Saccharomyces cerevisiae S288C: one gene and its partners. Changing the gene in region 2 together with the main gene of any one other region gives a genetic interaction. Each region holds a gene or a part of one and is shown on either strand. Other genes may lie near its edges.

Evidence for each region. A genetic interaction does not mean that the proteins touch.
Region 1: mutations in ECM1 (region 2) and POM34 together harm fitness more than expected from each alone (negative genetic interaction), as found in Saccharomyces cerevisiae (6 studies listed by BioGRID, with this or other methods).
Region 3: mutations in ECM1 (region 2) and MOG1 together harm fitness more than expected from each alone (negative genetic interaction), as found in Saccharomyces cerevisiae (4 studies listed by BioGRID).

The regions. Positions count from the first base shown.
Region 1 is NC_001144.5:178,207-181,633, forward strand, and holds POM34 (Pom34p), read right to left. Parts: upstream 1,401-3,427; coding exon 501-1,400; downstream 1-500. Other genes in the region: MEU1 (S-methyl-5-thioadenosine phosphorylase), read left to right, coding at 1-415; PSR2 (putative phosphatase), read left to right, coding at 2,082-3,275. UniProt on the Saccharomyces cerevisiae protein: Functions as a component of the nuclear pore complex (NPC).
Region 2 is NC_001133.9:34,572-37,647, forward strand, and holds ECM1 (Ecm1p), read left to right. Parts: upstream 1-1,937; coding exon 1,938-2,576; downstream 2,577-3,076. Other genes in the region: putative dehydrogenase BDH2, read left to right, coding at 1-130; BDH1 ((R,R)-butanediol dehydrogenase), read left to right, coding at 584-1,732; CNE1 (calnexin), read left to right, coding at 2,893-3,076. UniProt on the Saccharomyces cerevisiae protein: Pre-ribosomal factor involved in 60S ribosomal protein subunit export from the nucleus.
Region 3 is NC_001142.9:571,286-574,251, reverse strand, and holds MOG1 (Ran GTPase-binding protein MOG1), read right to left. Parts: upstream 1,158-2,966; coding exon 501-1,157; downstream 1-500. Other genes in the region: HOC1 (alpha-1,6-mannosyltransferase), read right to left, coding at 1-271; OPI3 (bifunctional phosphatidyl-N-methylethanolamine N-methyltransferase/phosphatidyl-N-dimethylethanolamine N-methyltransferase), read left to right, coding at 1,317-1,937; GTPase NPA3, read left to right, coding at 2,128-2,966. UniProt on the Saccharomyces cerevisiae protein: Involved in the Ran-GTPase system for nuclear protein import and poly(A)+ mRNA export.

The DNA.
Region 1 (3,427 bases), on a different chromosome or scaffold from region 2:
TATGACCGTTGTGTGTATGGAAGGCCCACAATTCTCCACGCGCGCTGAATCCAAGATGTACAGAATGTTTGGTGGCCATGTTATTAACATGAGTGTTATTCCAGAAGCCAAATTGGCGCGTGAGTGTGAGCTGCCTTACCAGATGATTTGTATGTCTACCGATTACGACGCATGGAGAGATGAGGCAGAACCTGTTACCGTAGAAACCGTTATTGGTAATTTGACGAATAATGGGCGCAATGCAAATATTTTAGCTTCTAAGATCATCGTCTCAATGGCCAAGGAAATCCCAGAGTTCATGCATACTGGCGATGGGCTGCGCGGTTCCATCAAGAAATCTATCTCTACCAAACCAGAGGCTATGTCCAAGGAAACCTTAGAAAGACTAAGATACTTATTTCCAAACTATTGGTAATGGTTGCCGCTAATCATATGTAAAATATAAATAGGAGAGAAAACATATATAGCTATGGAAAGTATTAAATGTTTTTTTGCTGTTTTTATATTTTCCCCCTTGGGGACTGTGAGTTCATCATATATGCATATTTGCTACTTGGAATGTAGCCCTTCCTAGTTACAGGGGTATGCGGCGAGTTATTGTCATTGTTAGCGCTCACTAATGTGCTACTGATACCGCTATGCCTCTGCAGTGTGCCAAATACATTCTTTGTGTGTAAGGATTGAGATTGTAGTTTCGTCTGTTCCTCCGCCATTTCCCTTTGTCTTGCTTTCAAAGGCGTCTCTAAGCCTTTGAAGAGATATGCTGGATGATTTTTGAGATTTGTTTGAGGAATATGTGTTTTGTTCTGTGCCATTTGGCTGATCTTAGAAGTGGATACGTAGTGGGGGTGTTGTGGCTGCAACCCAGTATCGACAGATGATTGCATGTCTACCCCCAGGAGCTTCTTTTGCCTGTCAGTGAGATTCAAATCACTTACTTTGACGGTGGATAAGAGCTTCCAAAGAGAAAACAGTATATTGAGCGAGATTAATAGGTGGAACAAGTAGTCAAGAAGTTCTGCATTCAACCAACTGAACGTGGTGTGATATATGATGTTAGCCTTCTTTAACGTGTGAAATGTCAACATGTACAGATGGATTCTGGATAGCCGGTTGCAAAACTGTCTCCCAACATGAGTGTTGTTCCAAAAGAACTTGATGAACTTCACCAGCAGGTTCCAGAACGCAAACGCAATTACGTTTGTCATAATTCTCTGCGTCTCCATTTCCTTGTTTACCGTTCGCCGTGATAGCTCCTTGAGCACAGGACTTTCAAAGTTGCCCAATTTAAACATTGGTGTGTCATTTTGTGATTGTGATGAGGGTTTGCTGTCTGTGTCCGGCAATGGTCCCGGCACGTCATTATCGTCCAGGCCCAATTGGCCCGCCTGAATCTTCATAGTTCCCTCTATTATTTTTTTGCCTCTGCGGATATATTAAAAGTCTGTATATTGTCAAGTTCTTATAATATAAATCTTTTTGTTCATCATAACCATCTTATTAATTGTTATTATTTCTATCATTATTACTATTAGCACAAATTTCATTTTTTTTTTTTTTCATTTTTCTTTAGACTTTAGCCCTAATTAGACCTGAGAAATATTATTATAACCTGAGAAAGGTTTATAAAAAGAACATTATAACCTACAAAAAAGATACTTAAACCCTGAAGTTAATAGGTTTGGACCCTCTTTTTTTTTTTTTGCTTTTTTTTAGAAAACCTCAGTATTCACAGTCTAAGGAACAGATAAAGAGAAGCTTTATGAAAGCAGTCCACAGTGCCACGAACTTTGACATATATAATTGACTTGTGGGGGCTACCGACTGGCTTATATTTCTAAAATTTAGAGATTTGATTATCTTTTTCGCAGCGCGTAAAAGAAACCCACGAAGCATCGCTTAATTTACACATATTCTTCGTTCTCCCCTTTTGGAGAGGATTTAAGCTAAGATATATCTTTCTTCGAGCGCAGTGCTGCTTTTGAGTTCTTTCGTTTTAATTTTCCACTTATTTGGCAATAAAAACTGAGTGAAGAGTGCTTCTCTGTCTGTTTTAGGGAGCTTTTTCAGATCATCATCAGATGGGATTTATAGCAAATATACTGTGCTGTTCTTCAGATACTTCCAAAACACATCGTCAACGCCAACCACCAGAAACTAATCACAACCGCAACCGCAACCGTAAGCACAGTTCAAACAAAGCTCAAACTCAGGGTCGTAAGCAGAAGGCTACTCCAAACGGCGACAAGATGCAATATTCCACACCGGAGATCCTTTTGTCTAGTTCCGATTCAGGCAGCAATGCGGGTTCCAAGACAATGCAGGAGAATGGGAATAGCGGCAATGGAAAACTAGCACCTTTATCAAGAGATCACTCCAACAACTCGTACGATGAGGAGAAAGAATATGAAGATTATAATGAAGGAGACGTAGAAATGACGGAGGTTAACAATGCCGGAGAAGAAGAAGAAGAAGATGACGAAGCAAAAGAAAAGCAAGACCATGTCGTTCATGAATATAACGTTGACGCAGATAGAAATTCCAGTATTAATGACGAGGCGCCACCACAACAGGGTCTGTATCAGGTGGGTCAAGAAGATATGAATCCACAATATGTCGCCAGCAGTCCTGATAATGATTTAAACTTGATACCTACAACGGAGGAGGACTTCTCTGACCTGACGCATTTGCAACCAGACCAGTACCATGCCCCCGGATACGACACTCTGCTACCACCCAAGTTGCAAGAATTTCAACAGAAAAAATGTCTGATATTGGATCTAGACGAAACTTTGGTACATTCTTCCTTTAAATATATGCATTCAGCTGATTTCGTTTTGCCCGTCGAAATCGATGATCAAGTTCACAATGTCTATGTTATTAAGAGGCCAGGCGTCGATGAGTTCTTGAACAGGGTGAGTCAACTATACGAAGTTGTTGTGTTCACGGCAAGTGTTTCGAGGTATGCAAACCCCCTTTTAGATACGTTGGACCCTAATGGAACCATCCATCATCGATTATTCAGAGAAGCTTGTTATAACTACGAAGGTAACTACATCAAGAACTTATCGCAGATCGGAAGACCATTGTCCGAAACAATCATCTTAGATAATTCGCCGGCCTCTTACATCTTTCATCCGCAACATGCTGTTCCGATATCTTCTTGGTTCTCTGATACTCATGATAATGAGTTACTAGATATTATCCCACTTTTGGAGGACCTTTCATCAGGAAACGTGTTGGATGTGGGGAGCGTGTTGGATGTGACGATATAGATTTCTCAGTAACATAAAAAGCAGGCTCTTTTTATTACCCCCCCCTTCGGTTATATGTTTGGACGAACTCATGTTTCTCTTTTTATACAGAAGACTTCACCGGATATTTATAAACTTAATGAATTAATTTGCTTATTACATGTATCAATTGT
Region 2 (3,076 bases):
TCCAAACAATCACGGAGAGTTGAACAGGGAAGCCGATAATGAGAAGAAAGAAATTTCCGAGCTGAGCAGTCGGAAAGATCAAGAAAGACTACGAGAATCAATAAACGAGGCTAAACTGCGTCACACATGATTGTGATTGAGTACTCACGTTCTCGTGTTAATCCCGCGGTCTTCTTGTTTTACTAACTTTTCTTTCTCTCATAGCATTCTCTTGACAGTGTTTTATATACATCATATGTACATTTATCGAGCCAATCGAGGGCAGCAGTTTAACATCAAGCCGGATTTGCTCACGCTACTTTGACCCCTTTTCGTTTCGACGGAGAGAAGAAACCGGTGTTTTCCTATCCTTGCCTATTCTTTCCTCCTTACGGGGTCCTAGCCTGTTTCTCTTGATATGATAATAGGTGGAAACGTAGAAAAAAAAATCGACATATAAAAGTGGGGCAGATACTTCGTGTGACAATGGCCAATTCAAGCCCTTTGGGCAGATGTTGCCCTTCTTCTTTCTTAAAAAGTCTTAGTACGATTGACCAAGTCAGAAAAAAAAAAAAAAAGGAACTAAAAAAAGTTTTAATTAATTATGAGAGCTTTGGCATATTTCAAGAAGGGTGATATTCACTTCACTAATGATATCCCTAGGCCAGAAATCCAAACCGACGATGAGGTTATTATCGACGTCTCTTGGTGTGGGATTTGTGGCTCGGATCTTCACGAGTACTTGGATGGTCCAATCTTCATGCCTAAAGATGGAGAGTGCCATAAATTATCCAACGCTGCTTTACCTCTGGCAATGGGCCATGAGATGTCAGGAATTGTTTCCAAGGTTGGTCCTAAAGTGACAAAGGTGAAGGTTGGCGACCACGTGGTCGTTGATGCTGCCAGCAGTTGTGCGGACCTGCATTGCTGGCCACACTCCAAATTTTACAATTCCAAACCATGTGATGCTTGTCAGAGGGGCAGTGAAAATCTATGTACCCACGCCGGTTTTGTAGGACTAGGTGTGATCAGTGGTGGCTTTGCTGAACAAGTCGTAGTCTCTCAACATCACATTATCCCGGTTCCAAAGGAAATTCCTCTAGATGTGGCTGCTTTAGTTGAGCCTCTTTCTGTCACCTGGCATGCTGTTAAGATTTCTGGTTTCAAAAAAGGCAGTTCAGCCTTGGTTCTTGGTGCAGGTCCCATTGGGTTGTGTACCATTTTGGTACTTAAGGGAATGGGGGCTAGTAAAATTGTAGTGTCTGAAATTGCAGAGAGAAGAATAGAAATGGCCAAGAAACTGGGCGTTGAGGTGTTCAATCCCTCCAAGCACGGTCATAAATCTATAGAGATACTACGTGGTTTGACCAAGAGCCATGATGGGTTTGATTACAGTTATGATTGTTCTGGTATTCAAGTTACTTTCGAAACCTCTTTGAAGGCATTAACATTCAAGGGGACAGCCACCAACATTGCAGTTTGGGGTCCAAAACCTGTCCCATTCCAACCAATGGATGTGACTCTCCAAGAGAAAGTTATGACTGGTTCGATCGGCTATGTTGTCGAAGACTTCGAAGAAGTTGTTCGTGCCATCCACAACGGAGACATCGCCATGGAAGATTGTAAGCAACTAATCACTGGTAAGCAAAGGATTGAGGACGGTTGGGAAAAGGGATTCCAAGAGTTGATGGATCACAAGGAATCCAACGTTAAGATTCTATTGACGCCTAACAATCACGGTGAAATGAAGTAATGACAAAATAATATTTGGGGCCCCTCGCGGCTCATTTGTAGTATCTAAGATTATGTATTTTCTTTTATAATATTTGTTGTTATGAAACAGACAGAAGTAAGTTTCTGCGACTATATTATTTTTTTTTTTCTTCTTTTTTTTTCCTTTATTCAACTTGGCGATGAGCTGAAAATTTTTTTGGTTAAGGACCCTTTAGAAGTATTGAATGTGGGAACAAAGACGACAAAAGGTAGTTTTTTCCTTGACTATACTGGTAAGATATCGTCTAAAACAAAGCATGGCCAAGAAAATATCAAAGAATTCAAGAGCTGCTAGACAATCGGATGCTCTTGAACCAGAGGTAAAGGATTTAAGTGAACTACCTAGAGCTGAAAAAACCGATTTGACTAATATTTTGATTAGAACAGCAGCCAAGAATGAGGCATTGCTGGAAGCAAAGATATCTAAGAAAGCCAATAAAAGTAAGAGGGGCAAGAAGTTAAATAAAAAGGCTCTGGAAGACAAACTGGCCAACTCTATTTCATCCATGGACAGGGATCGTTTAGTGAAGGCCTTGAATTTTACCAATCGTCTGGACGGTAAAATTGCCAAGTCCATTTCTCGTGCCAAGTACATTCAAAATACAAGAAAGGCTGGCTGGGATAGCACCAATGAGACTATAAAAAAAGAGCTGGCTTTTTTGAACGGAGGGTTGTCTGTGCAGGCAAAAAGTGCTAGTGAAGGTAATGCTGAAAAGGAAGATGAGGAGATCCCAGAAGTTTTTGACTCTTTAGCAGAGGATAACACAGTGCAGAAGACTCCTACAAATAGATTCGGTGTCCTGCCAGACGATGTTGAAGAATAGAAAATTTTCATATGAAAGGTCCTAGGAATACACGATTCTTGTACGCATTCTTCTTTTTTCTATCTTCTTTCATTCTTTGTACATTAGATAACATGGTTTTAGCTTAGTTTTATTTTATTTTTTATATATCTGGATGTATACTATTATTGAAAAACTTCATTAATAGTTACAACTTTTTCAATATCAAGTTGATTAAGAAAAAGAAAATTATTATGGGTTAGCTGAAAACCGTGTGATGCATGTCGTTTAAGGATTGTGTAAAAAAGTGAACGGCAACGCATTTCTAATATAGATAACGGCCACACAAAGTAGTACTATGAAATTTTCTGCGTATTTATGGTGGCTGTTTTTGAATCTAGCGTTGGTGAAAGGCACTTCATTGCTATCCAACGTTACATTAGCGGAAGATTCTTTCTGGGAGCATTTTCAGGCTTACACTAATACAAAGCATTTAAACCAAGAGTGGATCACAAGTGAAGCCGTCAACAATGAAGGCTCTA
Region 3 (2,966 bases), on a different chromosome or scaffold from region 2:
ATTGCTTTGCTTGAACTTCCTGTTGGTGTCTGATCTCCTGAGCCAAACTCTCAAAATGTTGAACTAGATCAGAATCCGAACTCTGAATATTGTTGGCACTATTAATGCTTTGGGAAATCTCTTTGGGCAAGTTCTGCAGAATTTTTTGTAAATCAGTAGCATTAGAATTGTGAAATAGGTATCTAACTCCAAATGCTAATGAGATGAGGGCTATTATGGCGAATATCATCAACCTCCTGAAACTGGAGGCTCTTTTTGTTGTTTTGGCCATCGTTAACCGCTACAGTCTATATATCTATCTGCTGTCTTCCGAGTAGAGTGCCTCTTCTCTGCAAGAATACGTGCAAAATGGAAAGAGAGGAATGTTCATTATGGTCACTGTTATTTTTTCACTTTCTTCGCTGCTGGGAAATTTCGTTATACTTATCGGAAAAAACATGTAATACGCTATATAGTAGAAATAAAAAGGTAATATAAACATAAGGTTAAAATTTGAAAGATTAAGCAAACAGCGACGTGTCCACAACGTGAAACTTCCGTACCATTTCTTGCAACAATTGGTAAACAGCATGACATCTTGCAGGCAACTCTTTGTTGCTTGCTTGCGACGCCTCCTCCTTTGTCAAAGGTACATTAATGGAGATGACCACATCCGTGTCAAACTGGGTTAATCTGATCAACGCTACGCCGATGACAACGGTCTGTGCCAGATCTGGTTTTCCCCACTTATTTGCTACTTCCATAACGAGTCCGGTGAACTTGGTTCCTTGCTGAACAGTGTCTTCTTGTAAAGCTTCCCATTTGGTGGTCCCGTTCAACTCCGTCAGGTCTTCCACGTGGAACTGCCAAGCCTCCTTCAGATCGCTCTTGTCGACCGTCTCCAAGAGATCCACGATAATGCTTTCATTGGTGGCTAGTCCATCTTCGAATTCTTCTTCATCGCGACGGGAATTGACGTACACCTCCTGTGTATCGGGGACTTCTCTTAGAGTAGAAGCGTCTATAAACCCAGGTGGGACGACAGTAGTGATGGCGCCGCCGTATAATTCGACTTCCTTGTTGTTCATGCTTCCTTGATGACCAGGGTAGGTGTCAATGAGAGTGCATGTGGAAAGTTGCACCGGTTGTGAAATATGAGAAGCCTTTTCAATCTTCATATGCAAACCCACACATGCATCGTTGGTTTCTGTCCACTGCCACTGCAATGACCACTGGATAAGGGGTCTTTATAAGAGAACACATATGAAGAACATGAACGTTCTTGGACAGAGCCATAAACAGCAATTGAAGACAACAAGAATAGCGCAAGTCAAGCGATGAAGGAGTCAGTCCAAGAGATCATCCAGCAACTCATCCACAGTGTCGATTTACAGTCTTCCAAGTTCCAGCTGGCCATTGTGTGCACGATGTTCAATCCTATCTTTTGGAACATCGTTGCAAGAATGGAATACCACAAGCATTCTCTCACCAAGATGTGTGGTGGGGCCAGAAAGGGCTGTTACATGTTGGCGGCGACCATATTTTCGCTAGGTATCGTCAGAGACATGGTGTACGAGTCTGCATTGCGTGAACAGCCTACGTGTTCTCTGATCACGGGCGAGAACTGGACCAAGCTGGGTGTGGCTCTCTTTGGTTTGGGGCAAGTGCTTGTTTTGAGTTCCATGTACAAGCTGGGTATCACAGGGACGTACTTGGGTGACTATTTCGGCATCCTGATGGATGAGAGAGTCACCGGCTTCCCCTTCAACGTTTCCAACAACCCCATGTACCAGGGTTCCACTTTGTCCTTCTTGGGCATAGCCCTTTACAAAGGAAAGCCTGCGGGGCTGGTTGTTTCTGCCGTAGTTTACTTCATGTACAAGATCGCTCTTCGTTGGGAAGAACCTTTTACTGCCATGATCTACGCTAACCGTGATAAGGCCAAAAAGAATATGTAAGTGCTCTATTTCTATATATTCTATAATGTTAGAAGCCTATGCTATTACCGTTTCTATATAGCTCCATAAGCAATTTCTTCGCGAAAGTGAAAAAAAAAAATTTTAATGCGATGCTCTATTTAACAAGGAATACAATGAGAGCATCTAGCGCACACAAACAACTACAAAACGCAATAACGACACAGCAAGAATGAGTCTCAGCACAATCATATGTATTGGTATGGCCGGATCCGGTAAAACAACTTTCATGCAAAGGTTAAACTCCCACTTGCGGGCAGAGAAAACGCCACCATACGTAATCAATCTTGATCCTGCAGTATTGAGAGTCCCCTATGGTGCAAACATCGATATCAGAGACTCAATCAAATACAAGAAAGTGATGGAGAATTACCAGCTAGGTCCGAACGGTGCCATTGTCACCAGTTTGAATTTGTTCAGCACCAAGATTGATCAAGTTATTAGGTTGGTGGAACAGAAGAAGGACAAGTTCCAAAACTGCATCATCGACACTCCAGGCCAAATCGAATGTTTTGTGTGGAGTGCGTCGGGTGCCATTATCACGGAATCTTTTGCCTCCAGCTTTCCCACAGTGATTGCATATATCGTGGATACGCCTAGAAACTCATCCCCAACTACATTCATGAGTAACATGCTGTACGCCTGCTCCATTCTGTATAAGACCAAACTTCCCATGATTGTCGTTTTCAACAAGACCGACGTGTGCAAGGCAGATTTTGCTAAGGAATGGATGACGGATTTTGAGAGTTTCCAAGCAGCAATCAAGGAAGATCAAGACTTGAATGGTGACAATGGGCTGGGCTCCGGGTACATGAGCTCATTGGTCAATTCTATGTCACTGATGCTTGAAGAATTCTATTCCCAGCTAGACGTCGTGGGCGTTTCCAGTTTTACCGGAGACGGATTCGACGAATTTATGCAATGCGTAGACAAGAAAGTTGATGAATACGACCAATACTATAAGCAAGAACGTGAAAAAGCATTGAACCTAAAAAAGAAAAAGGAAGAGAT